Linked DNA regions of Drosophila melanogaster. The protein of the gene in region 2 interacts with the protein of the main gene of each other region in a pairwise test. Each region holds a gene or a part of one and is shown on either strand. Other genes may lie near its edges. The genes, in order: Taf10, Taf3 and Taf10b.

What was found.
Region 1: the proteins of Taf3 (region 2) and Taf10 interact in a two-hybrid assay, tested with the Drosophila melanogaster proteins (one study listed by BioGRID).
Region 3: the proteins of Taf3 (region 2) and Taf10b interact in a two-hybrid assay, tested with the Drosophila melanogaster proteins (one study listed by BioGRID).

The regions. Positions count from the first base shown.
Region 1 is NT_033779.5:2,764,666-2,769,112, reverse strand, and holds Taf10 (TBP-associated factor 10), read right to left. Parts: upstream 1,224-4,447; 5' UTR 1,133-1,223; coding exon 887-1,132; intron 828-886; coding exon 570-827; 3' UTR 501-569; downstream 1-500. Other genes in the region: colt (congested-like trachea), read left to right, coding at 1-468; Taf10b (TBP-associated factor 10b), read left to right, coding at 1,336-1,776; aph-1 (anterior pharynx defective 1), read right to left, coding at 2,023-2,346, 2,406-2,798; Snx21 (sorting nexin 21), read left to right, coding at 3,611-3,617, 3,686-3,829, 3,915-4,447. UniProt on the Drosophila melanogaster protein: TFIID is a multimeric protein complex that plays a central role in mediating promoter responses to various activators and repressors.
Region 2 is NC_004353.4:460,412-469,894, forward strand, and holds the start of Taf3 (TBP-associated factor 3), read right to left. Parts: upstream 6,418-9,483; 5' UTR 6,259-6,417; coding exon 6,090-6,258; intron 4,905-6,089; coding exon 4,386-4,904; intron 4,330-4,385; coding exon 2,644-4,329; intron 2,091-2,643; coding exon 1,977-2,090; intron 1,918-1,976; coding exon 1,094-1,917; intron 1,003-1,093; exon of another isoform or gene 637-1,002; coding exon 303-636; exon of another isoform or gene 246-302; coding exon 1-245. Other genes in the region: CG33941 (uncharacterized protein), read left to right, coding at 7,440-7,583, 8,746-8,919.
Region 3 is NT_033779.5:2,766,786-2,770,998, reverse strand, and holds Taf10b (TBP-associated factor 10b), read left to right. Parts: upstream 1-3,153; 5' UTR 3,154-3,221; coding exon 3,222-3,662; 3' UTR 3,663-3,713; downstream 3,714-4,213. Other genes in the region: CG15399 (uncharacterized protein), read left to right, coding at 1-61; HINT1 (histidine triad nucleotide binding protein 1), read right to left, coding at 270-539, 599-740, 808-848; colt (congested-like trachea), read left to right, coding at 1,434-2,354; Taf10 (TBP-associated factor 10), read right to left, coding at 2,456-2,713, 2,773-3,018; aph-1 (anterior pharynx defective 1), read right to left, coding at 3,909-4,213. UniProt on the Drosophila melanogaster protein: TFIID is a multimeric protein complex that plays a central role in mediating promoter responses to various activators and repressors.

The DNA.
Region 1 (4,447 bases), on a different chromosome or scaffold from region 2:
GAGCGCAAGTACAACGGCATGATCGACTGCGCCGGCAAGCTATACAAGGAGGGTGGACTTCGCAGCGTTTTCAAGGGCAGCTGCGCCACAATGCTCAGGGATTTGCCCGCCAACGGGCTGTACTTCCTGGTCTACGAGGCGCTGCAGGATGTGGCCAAGTCGAAGTCAGAGACGGGACAAATCAGTACTGCCTCAACGATTTTCGCAGGTGGAGTGGCGGGCATGGCCTACTGGATTCTGGGCATGCCAGCCGACGTGTTAAAGAGCCGCCTACAATCGGCTCCCGAAGGCACCTACAAGCACGGCATACGCAGTGTCTTCAAGGATCTGATTGTCAAGGATGGACCTCTGGCCTTGTACCGCGGCGTGACGCCCATCATGCTCCGAGCCTTCCCAGCCAACGCTGCCTGCTTCTTCGGCATTGAGTTGGCTAACAAATTCTTTAACATCGTAGCTCCAAATTTCTAGTTTGTCTAATAAAGAAAGTGCCTCGCTAAAATGTTTTTACAACTTGAAGAAAACTAGCTATATTTGTGTGCCCAATTCAAAACTTTAGAGCTTAACTAAATCTAAACGAAATACTGCGGCTTGCGCATGGTGATGCCGTGGTCCGCGAGTGCCGGCACCAGGTCCTCCATGGCCAGCGTGTACTTCCTGTCCTTGGGGTTTTTCTTGTCCTTGCTGGAACTGTGTCCGCTGGAATGCTGGATGTTCGTGGTGCGCGTCTTGCAGTGCTGCAGTGCGTCGTTGGCAATATCCGAGATGAACTTCTGCGCGGACACCGAGACGAGGCGCACTATCTTGGGGTCCACTGTGCAGAAGCCAGCCTGCAGATTTAATCCAATATTAGAAATGCTACAAAGAATAGTTTCCGGTATATAGCTACCGTTTTCAAGATGTGCATGGTGAGGGCGTCTGGTATGGTGGGCGAGTAGTCCTCCAGCTGCTTTATCAGCTCATCCATCTCCGATTCCTCCGTCGTCAGAGGAACCTCCTCCACGTCCGGTTGCTCCTCGTCGGAATGCAGTTCGGACTGCATTAGTGGCGAGTCTATATCCTCCTCCTCGGTGTCCGTGGCCGATGTTACGGATTCTGCGGGTGTAACACTGATGTCCTCGCCATCGGAAGCCATTGTTTTCCACTTTTTAATTGTTTATTTCCAGAAATTTGTTATCTCAGCTGGCGTGTATATGTGTGTATGTTTATATTGTAATCGATGACGAACCGTAAGAAGAATCGATAGCACTGGCAGCAACAATACGGAATAATTCGATAACTAGCATCTCCCATCACTACGTCTGCACTGTGTTTAATTTGTATTGTACACTTTTTTCGATGGTGGGCTCCAATTTCGGAATTATTTACCACAACAGCGCCGGTGGCGCAAGCAGTCATGGACAATCCTCGGGAGGAGGTGGCGGTGGAGATCGGGATAGGACCACACCATCTTCGCATCTCAGCGACTTCATGTCGCAGCTGGAAGATTATACTCCATTGATTCCGGATGCGGTCACCTCGCACTATCTCAACATGGGAGGCTTTCAGTCGGACGACAAGCGCATCGTTCGGCTGATCAGCCTAGCCGCCCAGAAGTACATGTCCGACATCATCGACGATGCACTGCAGCACTCCAAGGCGCGCACCCATATGCAAACCACCAATACACCGGGAGGATCGAAGGCCAAGGACCGCAAGTTCACCTTGACCATGGAGGATCTGCAGCCGGCTTTGGCCGACTACGGTATTAATGTTAGGAAAGTGGACTATAGTCAGTAGATAATGGCATGCATTGTAGTAGTTTTTTTCTCATTAAAAATAATGTATCTTAAGATCTGTGTTTTGGGAATTTATTGCGAAAGACCTTGGGATCTTAATGCATTCTCATTCTTTCAAGAAATCCATTTAGTAAAGGGATTTAAGTCCATAGAATGCGTAACTAATCGAGCATATACAAGGTAATTTGTTTTTTTTTATAATGTTATACAAAAGCTATTAACTAGGCGGTTAATACTAGGAGTATGTTTACTGGCATGTTATGAATTTTCTGAAACTGCGAGATGTTCCTCCAGCCACCCGGAAGGCCAGGACTCCCGTAAGTATGGTGACCAAGTAGTTTATCAGCAGAGTGGTCGTGTAAAGCTCATTGGCATTGAGCAGAGTTATCAGGGAGACGAACAGGTGGCTGAAAACCACATAGCCTATGTGGATATAGTTGTTTGTGTCGAATGCGTTGAAGAAAATAACGCTCCAGAAGGTGTGCAGCAGGATAATCGACAACGCCTGGGCAGCCGAGGTGACGAAGAATAGCTCAGTTCCGCCCTTCAAGCCCATGGTGCCGGGACCACTCTAAAAACCAAAAGATCTGTCATTGCTCGGAGCACATTACGCACCTTTGCTGCACTCACCATATCAGCCAGCACATTGACCAGTGCAAACATCCCGGATATAATGCCGAATCCCAAGCCGGAGACATAGGCCAGGATGTGCTTGTTGTCCGTCACTCGCGTGTCCTCCGCCACGGCGTGCAATCCCTGCTCCGTGCTGCGCAGTATCCGGTAGATGATGTACCGGAAGGCTTCCTGGAAGCACACCGAGAAGACCACGCCAAATGCCAGGAACTCCTTCAGCGGAATCAGGGCATACCACAGGGAAGAGATCAGCAGGGAAAGCAGCCAGAAGAATGCCGCCGCAATCAGAATGATGATCCGCACTGGATCATTGGCGATGGTGAAGACGAACAAGGCGAAGGGCGGTCCGAAGGCGATGAAGGTGCAGCCAAAGAACTCGGGCAACGTCATCTTGTCTTTGTATTATTACTGTTTTTTCTTTTGCTCTGTGGGTGTTTTGGTTTACTTGGGAAGAGGAAGCAGAGACTCGCATAGAGTTGCCAGACTTTTGCAGTGCCATTCGGGCTGCCACACTGTACGTTTTAGTAGTGTACATACCCTACACAGATGAGTACATTAGCTTGTGCGTCACGCAAAAGTATACAAATTATTTAAACTGCGAGAATTATCCAAACAAATGGGAATCTTTTAATCTTAACTTAATTGCCTAATTACCTATCCTTTGCTTTAATTTGTATATAAAAACCAAATCCAGCCTTTAAAAGTAATATCTACTGAACTACAGAAAGGGTATATTAGGACCGCTTTTGAAGATACATTTTTGAAAGCTGCCAGACTGCAGAGCACTAATGTCTTCATACCCTACTATATAAAGTCTGTTAATTCAAAAATAACTTGTTGCTAAAGTACACGATATGTATTAGAGCTCATAAAAATTGTAGCCTACTAAATCATTATACAATTTATAGAAATATTTAATATTATTCAAAAATTTAGAATATAGTTATTCTAAATGTTCCCTAAGAGCCATACCCGCGTAGGGTGTTACAGAGGCCGCCTATGCGGGATTCACACGCACAAAACAAAGGCCTCCGTCCCACTTGCAATGTTTTTGTTTGGGGCGGAATTAGTCACTGTAAATTGACTCAACAACTATGCCAACCGCATAATCCGCCGTAAACCAGAAGCGAATTGCAAGTGCCCAGCTGCGGATCGAAAACAGCAGCCCAGCGAGAAATCACAAAGAGATTCATAGAACCCGTATGCCCAGTGAGCACAGTGAAACCTCCAATTAGCAGTTCGTCGTTCATTTGGTTTCGTTTTTTCTTTTACCCCAGTTCACGCCGTGATGGCCAAGCGCCTGCACCACCAGCCTACCTTCGATGGGGATCCACCCGGTCCGGATGAGCTGGACAGTCCAGCCATCGAGGCGGCGGCCCTCGACATTCCCCCTCCCGAATCCGATAAGGCGCTCCAAAAAGGTTTGTGTAACCATTATCTCACACTCGCAAAATATGTAGGTACAGTGGATAATCTCTAAGGCGAATATTGTCTGTATCTTCTTAGGTGTCTGGGAGCGAGCCACAAGTGCTGAGTATAAGCCGACCACGGATGGGAGCACCGTGCTCCGCTTTGACATCTTGCTGGCCCACATAATGCCGCCCGATGGCGAGGATGTGAAGATCAAGCGGTTCGTGGTCTATGAGCTCACTGTTAAGCAGGATGGAGCCACGGAGGACACTCAGCCGGCAAAGATTGAGCGCCGATACACCGACTTTCGGGAGCTTTATCTGGGCCTTAAGCGGCAGCATCCGGCGGAGATGGCCAACAAGTACTTCCCAGCCAAGGTCCTGATGGGTAACTTCAAGTCCGAGCTGATCGGCGAACGGAGTGCAGCCTTCGAGGCATTCCTCACGTATGTGGCAAGCCAGGCGATGCTCCGGGACTCGGAGTACTTCCTGCGCTTCCTGCAGCACGACGAACTGACCAGGGCGTGCCAGTTTCTGGATGAGCGGCGTAACGAAATGGCCATACCTATTCTGGAGAACTGTTTCCGCTTGCTGAACAAGATATACATGAATCGATCGAGGCCGGTGCTT
Region 2 (9,483 bases):
ACTGTTGCACATTGCTGGTACAAAGTTGTTCATTATCGTATGAGGCGCCAACATCAATTGTTGTGGTAACAAAACTGAACTAGCCGAAAGCGTGGAAGAGGCAGTATTACTGTTATTAGGGTTTGATAACCACCCTGCAGAATTAGATGAGGTTTGACTAACAGGAAGTTGCACGGCGCGCACAGCTACTGGGGAAGGTACAGGCAACACGGCCGTAGAACTGTTTCCTAAATGCAGTGTTTCAGCTGGAATAACAGTTATTTTAAAATGTATATAAATTATCGAATAATAACTTCGCCTACATTGTTTGTTCTTAGGCGGGCCGGTAACCAATGGAGAAAAACGAGCAAGCTCCGGAGAATTATCCCGTTCACGCTTCTTATTTTCTGAAGACAAAATCGTGGTTTGCTTTAGTTTCCCTGCATCTGTCATCTCCTTTTCTGAAGACGAAAATAATGTAGATTTTCCACTAAGTTTTAGTGTTAGTTTTGGTATTTGATTTGGAGATATTCCACTTGTGGCGGCACCTAACGATGGATTTATTGTCATGGAACTTGATTTCAATACAGGTTCATCGTTGTTAGCTAAAGGCACCTTGTCAAATTCTTCTGTGTCATCTGGTATATGGACTAAAATCTAAAATAAGAATTGATTAAACTATAAATTTAACTTTAAAAGATTTTGCTGAGATATGTGTATAGACTAAAATAAAATTTGTAAGAACTAAAAATATAACTTTAAAAGATTTGGCTGCTTTACATGTTTATGTAGGATTAAGATGTTTTTGTACCTATACCAAGCTGTAGGCTTCGATGTTATAATTAGTCACAACAGTCTATATAAGTATTAATACAAATTTGGAACATAATGTATAATGTATAATGCATAATGCATAATTTAATGTTATTATACGGAATATGTTCACAGAATTCATGATTTTAAAAATGTTTCCCACATAACTTGCTGTTTTCAAATGAGTTTGTGTACGTACTTATCGCAAAGGTTGCTTATCAGCTCCGGCGTATCTACATATCTGATCCAAATACCACAACACGAACACCTATTTTTTTATAAATAAAGAATTGACACAAACCTGCTTATCTTTATCCTTTTTCTTTTCTTTTTTTTGCCTTTTATCATTGGCCTTTATTTTCCGGTCGGATTTGAAAGATGGTAAGCCAATCTGATCCGCTTTCTTTGATTTGTCCTTTTTCTCTTTCTTTTTTTTATTTTTCCCTTCTTTAACCTTTTTTAGCTTTTTGTGATGTTTCCGCATTTTCGGTTCCAACGACGTTAATCCAGTTGGTGTTATTGTAATATCTTCGTAGTTAGAAAAGGTAGAAAAAATATTGTGCTCTTCTGAAATTTTGATTTGATTCGGTATGGTTCCACCTAAGCTACTGAATGGTACTATTTTGGAGGAATATTCCGAATCACTCACTCTCGACAGAGGAATAAGATCTGCTCCCCCAGCTAAACTGAATTTGTCACCTCCCATAAAATTAGGCAAGTTAAATTGTGGAAATGATGAATGTGAAGCTGGCGTGTGGGGTACGCTTTTTACATCGGGAAAACTCTGTTTAACAAGTTTTTTAAATTTTTTAAGTGGTTCGTTAGAGCTTAGAGACACAATATTCCTTAGATCCATTTTGGATTTTTCTTCACCATTAGATGCAGCTGACGTAAACGAGGAGGGATTTAGTTCTGCGAAGCTGGTTTTAACATAAGTTGGTGATGATATTGGGGTTTTTCTTTGAACCATCTGCCTGTTGTGCATTGATTCATCTGAATCATCTGAAACCTCTATTGGATCATCAGGATTTCCAGAAGCCTCCAAAAGCGGTTTCGTGTTTATTTTGCTTGTAGCCTGTGCAGATGGGTTTTCCAATATTGTGCTGGCACAAGATACGCTTTTACCTACAGATATAAGTAATAAGTTATTTTTAAATTACAAATATATTTACCGTTAAACTTACACTCGGCGAATTTCATTGAGTCAGGTACTAATGGAGCAACATTGCAGTAGTTTCGATCCATTTGCAAGTCAGTTTGCGTGGAAGATCGGCTCAGAAATTGATCAGAATCAGTAACTAAAAATTATTTTTTCTAATCATTATAAATATTTAAATATTTTGGTCGACAAATAATTCACATATTGTAGGTAGGTACGTATTGTCAATATAAAAAAAAAATTTGAGCTCCTCCAAATATCTAGTTTATGACAAACGCAAATATTTCATACTAACCCATCTAGAAGCTTCCCAATACCACTTCTTGAGTGTGTACCTATACCTATTTTCTACATTCAACGGTTCAATGATTAGTTTCAGATTAGTATTTTTGCTGTAATGAATTAAGATATTGCCGAGACTTTTATGTAAGCAATATATTCTTCGAGCTGTGATACTCGAACTGGTATGGTAAAGTAAAGTTTGGGTCAACAAACTTCAGCTGGGTTTATGTCTCTAGAATCTTTATGCTTAATCTCAACCTACTAGCTTTTTATAGTTCATGAGATCTCGACGTTCATACGGACGGACAGGACAGGATCAGATCCACTCGGCTATTGATCCTGGTCACGAAAATATATACTACGTATATATACTACGAGCAATGCGTATAAAAATAACTCATTTGACGTACCAGGAGAATCCTTAATTGGTGGACATCGAACAGTATCCGCAACTGATTCTTCTGGTCCAGGATAATCTATGAACGGCGAAATAGGTATTCTGTTACCGTGATTCCCGAAGCCAACTAAACCAGTGACTGCAGGAAAAAGCCCAGGTCCAGTAGGAATAAGACCAGGTCGTGGTGGAAATTGCAATAAAGGAAGCAACGGAACCATTCCTGTTTGAATTCCAGGGTAAATTGATGCATTTGACAAAGCATTGGATATAGTCACAAATTTATCTGAACATTGTACATCATTATTTTGTTTTGTGGGTCGAATAGAATTATGTAGTGTTGATGCCTTTTCAGGAGAACAGCTCTTGTCTAATTGCATTACATTTTCTGGTAATGATTTGTACTTTTTTCTGTCCTTTTTTTCTTTTGCATACAGGTTTGACAAAAAATTATTCGAGGGCTGTTCGGTATTACACAAGTTGAGAGGTTCTGTTGGCGGGGAGACGTTTAAAGAACTTTGGGTTATTATCATTGGAGATGATGATAGAGGCAGTGTAATAGCTTGGCTTGACTTTTTCCGTTCGACCTTATTAATTAAAGGTTGCGATACAACATTTGTTTGTTTTATTACATTTTTTCCTCCAGGTTTGCGACCTCGCTTTTTTGGCTTTGGCGAATCAATAATTGACATTTCAACGCCTGCTTTAGTTAAAGGTATAGTTCCATCGAATATATTGCAAGGGTTGATTTTCATACTCGGAACGTTTTTGTTTTCAGAATTTAGACCAAGTGAAGGTGTAGGAGTTATAGTAGTCCCCGATGGAAGACTAATTAATGCTGAAGGGGTCATTGTGCTTCCAAATACAGATACCCCGGTTCCAGGAGGTACTAAAGTCGCCCCAATATCTGGACGTGGAGTACGTGGCTTAGAAATTTTCTTAAAAATGTCCAATTTACTTCGTTCTGGTTCTGATCCACTTTTTTTTTCTGCCAATAGCACTTGCGTTTGTTGAATTACAGATGGCTGCACTGGATAAATTGAATTTCGAAAATTATTTTCAATCTGGCTTGTTACTGTTGGCGGCTGACTAGGGATATCAGCTTGTAAAGCATTTTCATTTGAGTTAGCTTTTATGGCAAGGCCGCTCGTAGTTTGAGAATTCTGCAAAAAGTGTTTTTCGTCGATGTCCAGTTGAAGATCATTTTGCTTAAGTTTGGACTGCTTCTTAAATATTTTTTCTAAATGTTTTTTATTTGGATCGAAGGATCCGCGGTTAAATTTTTTTTTTAACTTTTTCATGTTTTGTATTTGATTAATTGAGCTGTCTCTTTGGTTCTTTGAGGTTTGTTTATACATTTTTAAAGCTTTTCTCTGTGACTTTTCCTGAGCTTTTTCAAACGGATTAGTTAGAAGTTCGCTTTGACCGGGTTCGCATATTAAATCATGTTTCTGTTTTCTATTCTTCTTAGGTGTTGTAACAGTTAGCATCGTATGGTTGTTAGACGCATATATTATTGAAGACTCTGAATGTCCACTTGTCAATAATGCAGCATTTTGTTTGAAGATTTTAGTTTCTGAGGGAATGATTTTTCGTGGATTTACTGTTTTGTCTCTGTCAGAAAGCGCCAGTTGTGGAGATTTTTGTAACGAATTTACAATTATCGTCGGTGAAAAGGGTGCATCCAAACCTAAAAATTTTTCTATAAACACCGATACATGAAAATTTATTAAGCTGTGGTATAAGGATAGGTCGTACCAACTATATCCGGTATGATATCTTCGGGGAGCTTGCCTTCAATAGCTGGACTTATGAATCCCCCTGTTGTCATTACCACGCTGCTCATTTCGCGGACTGAGCTCCCAACGTCCAATTCAAAGGCATTCGACCGGAAATTTATCACAGTATTAGGAGAGATAGAATCAATGTGCTTGGCGCCTAACTTATCAGCTGCGTTTGTTGAACTATACTCTGCTTTTGAACAAAACTCTTGCTTTTCCGAAAATTCCTTTTGAACATCGGCTGGAATTTCACGAAGTTCGGGGTCCTGCATTGGTGGCAAGTATTCAAATATGTAGACAGGTCGCGTTAGAGTTTCAGCGCTTCCAGGCTTAAGGAAGTTCATGTTTACAGATTTTCCAATGGGAAACTGTGGTACATCCCGGATGAATCCAACAGGCTCGACATTACCTATGTAGTCCAATAGTTCTTGAACATTGATGCTGAGATTTTTTATACTTAAGCGTGCATCCTTAAGGTTCGGCTCTATCCGATTTGCTAAATTAGTAATATATATACTTGTCAATTAATATTTTTATAAATTTTATCCAAATAAACAAAGCATTTTTGATTTTTTGTTTGGTTTTAATAAGATTTTTTTGAACTCATATAAATAACGTTATTAAGTAACATACCAAGCAAAATTAAAAAGAAAATATAAGAGAACGCTTTAGTCGAGTTCCTCAACTATTTATTTTTATTTCTGTTCCGGTGGTTACAAGGAAGATATATCTTAATCTAAGATATATCTTAATCTAAAATATATCTTAATCTAAGATATATCTTAATCTAAGATATATATAAATCAAAGATTTATTGTTTTTTTTTTTTTGGTGTTTACAAGACAATTAATGAAATAATAATTTGCAAAAAATACAATCTACATGCCTATTGAGGTTTCATAATCCCCAATCGAGACCCCGGCAGTCCCACAATTCATCGCTCCTTAAAAACATCCCAAGATCATCGGTTTCGCCCACAGTACCAACTGCTTTGGCTGCACAGCCACAAGCAGGGAATCAGCAATAAATTATGGATCTTTTATTTCCAGCCGAATGCTAAGCTGACGCTCTAAGTCGCCGAGCACATAAGTTTCGTAAGAAACTTTAAATTTTTAATGCGCATCGGAACTAGAGAAATTATATACTGATGTAGGTGAAAGGGACTGGGCGAGGAAAAGGGAAATAACAATAAAAGAAAGAAATAAATTAAAAGATTACTTTTCTAAGAGGCACGCTTCCTTTTTCGCGGATAACTGGGACTAGATTTATGCGAGTAGCAGGCGCGAGCTTAATCAGGAAATTCCAATGGCAATGGATTCATTTTACACGCAACAACACGTACTACTCGCAGAAGCGATGTACATTTTTCGTAATACATTTCTGTACACATTATACTAATATATTTTACTTTAAGGTTAAACGGACAGGTTGACCGGTATTCTAACGCAACTGAAAGCAAAATGCCCTAACTCCAAACAAAATTGTTTTAATGATAAATAATGATTTATTAATGATAGTCTGATGGAACTGCAGGGATGATAAGTTATACATTTATGTACATGTACATATATGTCACATACTTTTTATTGAATCTCTTATTCTACAAGTAACGACTATAACTACTCAGGCTTTGTTGTATTTCATGATCGGTTCCGTTGATTTGAGGGTCTATACCACTTACCGTGTTCCATATGTCTATGCATGTCTCGAGCGAACTCCTGTACAAACTTCTGCAATATGTCTTGCAACAACTCCAAGGGTGCACTTAGAGTGCAGCTGTAACCAATAGTTTGCGTTATCTGCGCAACGACAACAAGGGCCAAATCTGAAGCGTATCTGTCTGCCATCATGTTCTTTCATGAGGTACACCTTCTTTAGAAAACCTTGGAAATGCTGTGAATAGGTTTAACCGTCCCACGAACTTCCTCTTGTTATTAAAATTAATTGACTTGGTGTCTACACCTTTATTAGACGAACTACAATCTGTGGATGTTTAGTTAACGATAACTTATCGATTTTGCCTTTGATGGGAAATATATCGATATTTGGGGTATGCCAAAAGTGGTAATCATGGGGTTCAATCAAATTCAATTGATTGACCAACATAAACAAACTGCAATTTTTTATGTGGTTTGAAAGTGGTTATAAGGGCAGATAAAAGGTTTGCTTTCGGTATGTTCGCTGTTAGTGTTCGAATAAGACACAAATTTTGAAAATAAGACGAAAAAGTTTTCTAATCCTTCTATTCTTTAAAATAGATATTGAACGATGGAAATATAATTAGAGCTTGTTTAATAATAGAGCGCTTGAATGCAGAGTGAAACGAGAGTCTTGTGTTGTTACCCGTAAAAATGTTTTAGTTTTACTACTACTATTACTATTATTACTACGATTACTTACTACAAATTTTAACAGCATCTAATGTTATGTTTATTGTGGAAAGAAAGTAATGCCCAGAACAGCTATGAAATTACCGAATAAATAATAATATAATTATAAATATAAATAATATATATAAATATAAATTTAATAAAATAACATTAAGCCTAAAATCGCTTCAAAAATATCATGTGAACTATATCCCAAACATGTGTATATATGCAGGTAATTTAGTGGAAAGAGGGTATAATGTATAATGACACAAAACTACTGATAGAATACTAGTTATATTTTCGATCAGTTTAGAAGAAACTTATATCTTAAGACATTTATTGGGTTAGGTATTGTTTCCCATATATGTTCTAGTCGAGTATTCACACAAAGAAGCGTGCGACAGATCTTCGGCACTTAATATTTTGTATTTGTAATAATGTAAAATATAAAAATTAACAAATAAAACAACTATATGAACATTTGCATGTGTTGGGTATATGTGTAAGTCTAATAAAAAGTTTTATTCTACTTAAAGCTCAAATCCTTTAAACTTTTCAGCTAGTTATTGAAATACTCAGTATAAATGAGTAAGAAGATCTCCATCAACATTGATCTGACCAACGTTTTACTCCTTTTTTAATCTAATAAGAACTAAAAAATGCAACCATTGAACTCGAGCATTGATAAAGCAAAACATTTTTTCATAGAGAGCGGGATCTTAGGACCCGTTAACTTTAAATATTCTCATGACATGATTCGGAAGACGTCTACCATTCACATTGACGAAACTCTTAAGAATCAGGTAAGGGTGGATAATCTGATTCCCAACGAATACACGTTTACACCTATGTTAACCATAATAGGTGTATAGGTATCGTATTTCCTTACATATACTGAAGATTTCATATGCAGTCGGTCAGTTATCGAGTAACTGGTTAGTCCGTCTGACTATCAATCTGAACGCTGTGATCTCGGGAACAATGAAAACTAGAATATTGATATTAAGCATTAAGACTCAGTCACAGAGTCTGTAAGAGTTTGTTTCATGCCGTTGCGACGCTTGCTCCAACGACGACGCACCCTCAATATTCATACGGTCACAAAAAATCAATCAACCACTAGCAAAAACACGAATACACTTCAGTGCGCAGATTTCTCATTTTGCGCATAATGTACGAGCTCAAAGAAGCTGGAGTCGAAAAAATGGAATTTTTGAAATTTAAAAGCTGGAATCGTTTGCTCATTTGTTGTCTTTATTTGCCCACGTTTGGCCACTCTTTTCAATTTTGAAAAAGTGAATACTTTAGAAAATATGAGACGTTCTAGTTAACCTCGGTATTATTATTTTGACCATCTCTTAAAACTAAATATTATAAAAAAAAACTTTTGCCCAATCAGTATTCTTAGTTTTTATCGTTTGTCCATCCTTTAAAATTAGTTTTTTTCGTTTTCCCATCCTTTAAAATAAGTATTTTGAATTAAAAACGTTTGTCCAACCCTTAAAAATTTTGTTTTTTTGTGTTCCCACCTATTAAAACTAAATTTCTACATATGTATGTAATAATTGTAAGTTGTGGCGCCAATTCGCATGTTTTAGGATCGGCGGACAAATTCACATATGTACTTATATGATGATGATGAACATGTATATACATATCCAAGTTCAAGAAAATTGTGGAAGCGAATGATTATCGTTATGTAAATATTGGAAAAAACACGTAACGGATCGCGATCTATGTACATATGTATGTCTGTACATACATATTAAAAATTGGATTTTCCGACCCCAGCTTCTTTGAGCTGAATGTATGTATGCCTAGTTTCAAATAGATGCGGTTATTCACATTGATTAAAATTTAAAATAAACATGCGAGATACCTATGCATCTCCTATTGTTTTCAAATGTGTACATGAATGCATGTATGTACCCACATATGTATGTATGTATGTCAAACACTTTTTAGATTCGAAAAACATCATTGGGTATGCGATCGAGGGCATTTAGAGAAAATAATTCATTAAACAGTTTCGACGATACCCTTATAAATCTTCAAAACGAAATCTATAACATAAGAGATTCATTAGTCAATGGCGAGACTAAAATTATACTTCTCCGCACTGAAATTGGCAAATTAAAGGTAAGAAATTTTTTTCAATTAAATAGGCCTTTAGGCTATATATTTATTTCATATATAATATTTTTACGTATTTCCTGGGTCATTAAAAACTTCTTAAAAGAATTCATAATTTATTAGTTAAGGACCAACACCAGAAACTTCACATTTACATATAACATCAGCGATATTAAGGATATATACTCTTGATCAATATCAGTGCTACGCCAACTAGTTTTCGAGTTTTGAGGTAGTATTAAGCCGGAATGGCCCGGATCTGCGCATTATATCACATATGTAGCTGCCAAATAGATCTTGGGTTTTTTAATCATAGTATTTTATATTGTAGTTCCGTACATAACATTTTTAATTTAAAATTTAATTTAAAATAAAATGCATTTGCCTGTGAGTAAAACACGATTTTCAGAAATCAATTTTAAGCAATGAAACGAATTTAAATATTTAGTTTTGGTCAATTTCGTTGTTAAATGATCTACCAAAATGTTAAATAAATTAAATAAAATATTATTGAAAAATGTTTATCATGATTATCATATTTTTAAAGAAGCTTATTATTATTCATTTGTT
Region 3 (4,213 bases), on a different chromosome or scaffold from region 2:
CCTAAACCGCGTCATCGAGTTCAAGGAGCAATTTCCACTGTTAAGTTTCCGCCACTTGTGACCTTTTATTTTTTAGTTTCCCATCAATTTTTTTAATAAAATTTATGGAAAAATGAAGTAGCACTACGTTTTTCTAACGAAGCTTTCTTTAGGAATTATGGACATGGCGAATTTAAAGTAACTTGTTTTAGCATTTCACATAGTTTATTTCAAAAATTCTCTGTGGTGTAAATGATCTTGGATCTGGTAGCTGCACCATCGGCTGCTTCTTATCCTGGTGGCCACTGCATCTGGCGGCCGCCGAGGAAGTGCAAATGCAAGTGGTAAACTGACTGGGCGCCGTGCTTGCCATTGTTGATGACCACGCGGTAGCCATCCGCGAGGCCGAGCTCCTTGGCCACCTTGCGGCCCACCAGCATGAGATGTCCCAGCAGATCGGCATCTCCATCCTCGGCTAGCGAGAGTTGGGCAATTGGCTTGCGAGGAATCACGAGGAAGTGGGTTGGTGCCTGGGGCGCCACATCGTGGAAGGCAACGCACTGTGAAAGATTCGATAGGTAACATCTTTTTCTAGCAACCAAATGGACTGCGATCTCACTTTATCATCCTCGTGGATAAATTTGCATGGGATCTCCTTGCGCAAAATCTTGCCGAAAATGGTGTCTTCACTGGCGGCTGCCGTTTGCGATTTTTCCACTTCGCTTGCCATTCTAGCACTGCAGCTTGCTATTTGGCGAGAGCTGCAGCGTAAATACAGTATATAATCGCGGCACTTTAGATAATTAAGCCAATTTCGCACGAACTCACCTGAAAACACGAAAGAAATTCCGGCCGGTTGACAAGAACATCGAAATAGCGCTGCCAACTTGGTTTTCAGACAATTCACACAGAGCGGCAAATTTAGGGTATTCGAATGCTCTCACACCTGCGTCGCTATAATGTTATTTATTATTTAAAAAAAACATCAACAAATTATTACAGGGAAATGCAAAAGTATTTAGTGCCATAGATCGCTTTAATTAATTAGGGCTGTAGGGCTAGTGAAAATTCAATTCAAAGGAGGTGCACATAGGTGGACTTTGAACCCTGCTGCAACATATGGAAATCATAGAGATCTTCAAACCAGAAAAACTACTCTTTTGATCGCAAGATCAAGTTGCTCCGTGGCAATATTTTTGTGATATCAGTGCAGTCCAGTATCTTTATCTGGAGAATCACTGCATCTGTGGGAACATCAACAGCTTGTGACGTAATGTTGCCGCGCTCCTTATCGCTATAGAATGCTCAAGATTAGTTCGAAACTATCGGCTAGGTGCAAATTCCAATAATCCACTTGACTTGCCAGAAAACAGCAACACTAGTTCCGAAATCGAGCAGCTGCCGGCCGTTAAGGTGAAGGTGAAGGAGGAGCAGAGCAATAGCAACCTGTAGCCATGACCACCACGGAGAACGTGTCCACGGAGCGCAAAGCGAATCCAGTGAAGTCCTTCCTGACCGGCGGATTCGGTGGGATCTGCAATGTGCTCTCTGGCCATCCGCTGGACACCATCAAGGTGCGCCTGCAGACCATGCCGCGTCCGGCGCCGGGTGAGCAGCCCCTGTACCGCGGCACCTTCGACTGTGCGGCCAAGACGATCAAAAATGAGGGCGTCCGCGGTCTGTACAAGGGCATGTCCGCACCGTTGACGGGCGTTGCTCCGATCTTTGCGATGTGCTTCGCCGGCTATGCGCTGGGCAAGCGGCTGCAGCAGCGCGGCGAGGACGCCAAGCTGACCTACCCGCAAATCTTCGTGGCCGGCTCCTTCTCCGGCCTGTTCTCCACCCTGATAATGGCACCCGGCGAGCGCATCAAGGTGCTCCTGCAGACGCAGCAGGGTCAGGGTGGCGAGCGCAAGTACAACGGCATGATCGACTGCGCCGGCAAGCTATACAAGGAGGGTGGACTTCGCAGCGTTTTCAAGGGCAGCTGCGCCACAATGCTCAGGGATTTGCCCGCCAACGGGCTGTACTTCCTGGTCTACGAGGCGCTGCAGGATGTGGCCAAGTCGAAGTCAGAGACGGGACAAATCAGTACTGCCTCAACGATTTTCGCAGGTGGAGTGGCGGGCATGGCCTACTGGATTCTGGGCATGCCAGCCGACGTGTTAAAGAGCCGCCTACAATCGGCTCCCGAAGGCACCTACAAGCACGGCATACGCAGTGTCTTCAAGGATCTGATTGTCAAGGATGGACCTCTGGCCTTGTACCGCGGCGTGACGCCCATCATGCTCCGAGCCTTCCCAGCCAACGCTGCCTGCTTCTTCGGCATTGAGTTGGCTAACAAATTCTTTAACATCGTAGCTCCAAATTTCTAGTTTGTCTAATAAAGAAAGTGCCTCGCTAAAATGTTTTTACAACTTGAAGAAAACTAGCTATATTTGTGTGCCCAATTCAAAACTTTAGAGCTTAACTAAATCTAAACGAAATACTGCGGCTTGCGCATGGTGATGCCGTGGTCCGCGAGTGCCGGCACCAGGTCCTCCATGGCCAGCGTGTACTTCCTGTCCTTGGGGTTTTTCTTGTCCTTGCTGGAACTGTGTCCGCTGGAATGCTGGATGTTCGTGGTGCGCGTCTTGCAGTGCTGCAGTGCGTCGTTGGCAATATCCGAGATGAACTTCTGCGCGGACACCGAGACGAGGCGCACTATCTTGGGGTCCACTGTGCAGAAGCCAGCCTGCAGATTTAATCCAATATTAGAAATGCTACAAAGAATAGTTTCCGGTATATAGCTACCGTTTTCAAGATGTGCATGGTGAGGGCGTCTGGTATGGTGGGCGAGTAGTCCTCCAGCTGCTTTATCAGCTCATCCATCTCCGATTCCTCCGTCGTCAGAGGAACCTCCTCCACGTCCGGTTGCTCCTCGTCGGAATGCAGTTCGGACTGCATTAGTGGCGAGTCTATATCCTCCTCCTCGGTGTCCGTGGCCGATGTTACGGATTCTGCGGGTGTAACACTGATGTCCTCGCCATCGGAAGCCATTGTTTTCCACTTTTTAATTGTTTATTTCCAGAAATTTGTTATCTCAGCTGGCGTGTATATGTGTGTATGTTTATATTGTAATCGATGACGAACCGTAAGAAGAATCGATAGCACTGGCAGCAACAATACGGAATAATTCGATAACTAGCATCTCCCATCACTACGTCTGCACTGTGTTTAATTTGTATTGTACACTTTTTTCGATGGTGGGCTCCAATTTCGGAATTATTTACCACAACAGCGCCGGTGGCGCAAGCAGTCATGGACAATCCTCGGGAGGAGGTGGCGGTGGAGATCGGGATAGGACCACACCATCTTCGCATCTCAGCGACTTCATGTCGCAGCTGGAAGATTATACTCCATTGATTCCGGATGCGGTCACCTCGCACTATCTCAACATGGGAGGCTTTCAGTCGGACGACAAGCGCATCGTTCGGCTGATCAGCCTAGCCGCCCAGAAGTACATGTCCGACATCATCGACGATGCACTGCAGCACTCCAAGGCGCGCACCCATATGCAAACCACCAATACACCGGGAGGATCGAAGGCCAAGGACCGCAAGTTCACCTTGACCATGGAGGATCTGCAGCCGGCTTTGGCCGACTACGGTATTAATGTTAGGAAAGTGGACTATAGTCAGTAGATAATGGCATGCATTGTAGTAGTTTTTTTCTCATTAAAAATAATGTATCTTAAGATCTGTGTTTTGGGAATTTATTGCGAAAGACCTTGGGATCTTAATGCATTCTCATTCTTTCAAGAAATCCATTTAGTAAAGGGATTTAAGTCCATAGAATGCGTAACTAATCGAGCATATACAAGGTAATTTGTTTTTTTTTATAATGTTATACAAAAGCTATTAACTAGGCGGTTAATACTAGGAGTATGTTTACTGGCATGTTATGAATTTTCTGAAACTGCGAGATGTTCCTCCAGCCACCCGGAAGGCCAGGACTCCCGTAAGTATGGTGACCAAGTAGTTTATCAGCAGAGTGGTCGTGTAAAGCTCATTGGCATTGAGCAGAGTTATCAGGGAGACGAACAGGTGGCTGAAAACCACATAGCCTATGTGGATATAGTTGTTTGTGTCGAATGCGTTGAAGAAAATAACGCTCCAGAAGGTGTGCAGCAGGATAATCGACAACGCCTGGGCAGCCGAGGTGACGAAGAATAGCTCAGTTCCGCCCTTCAAGC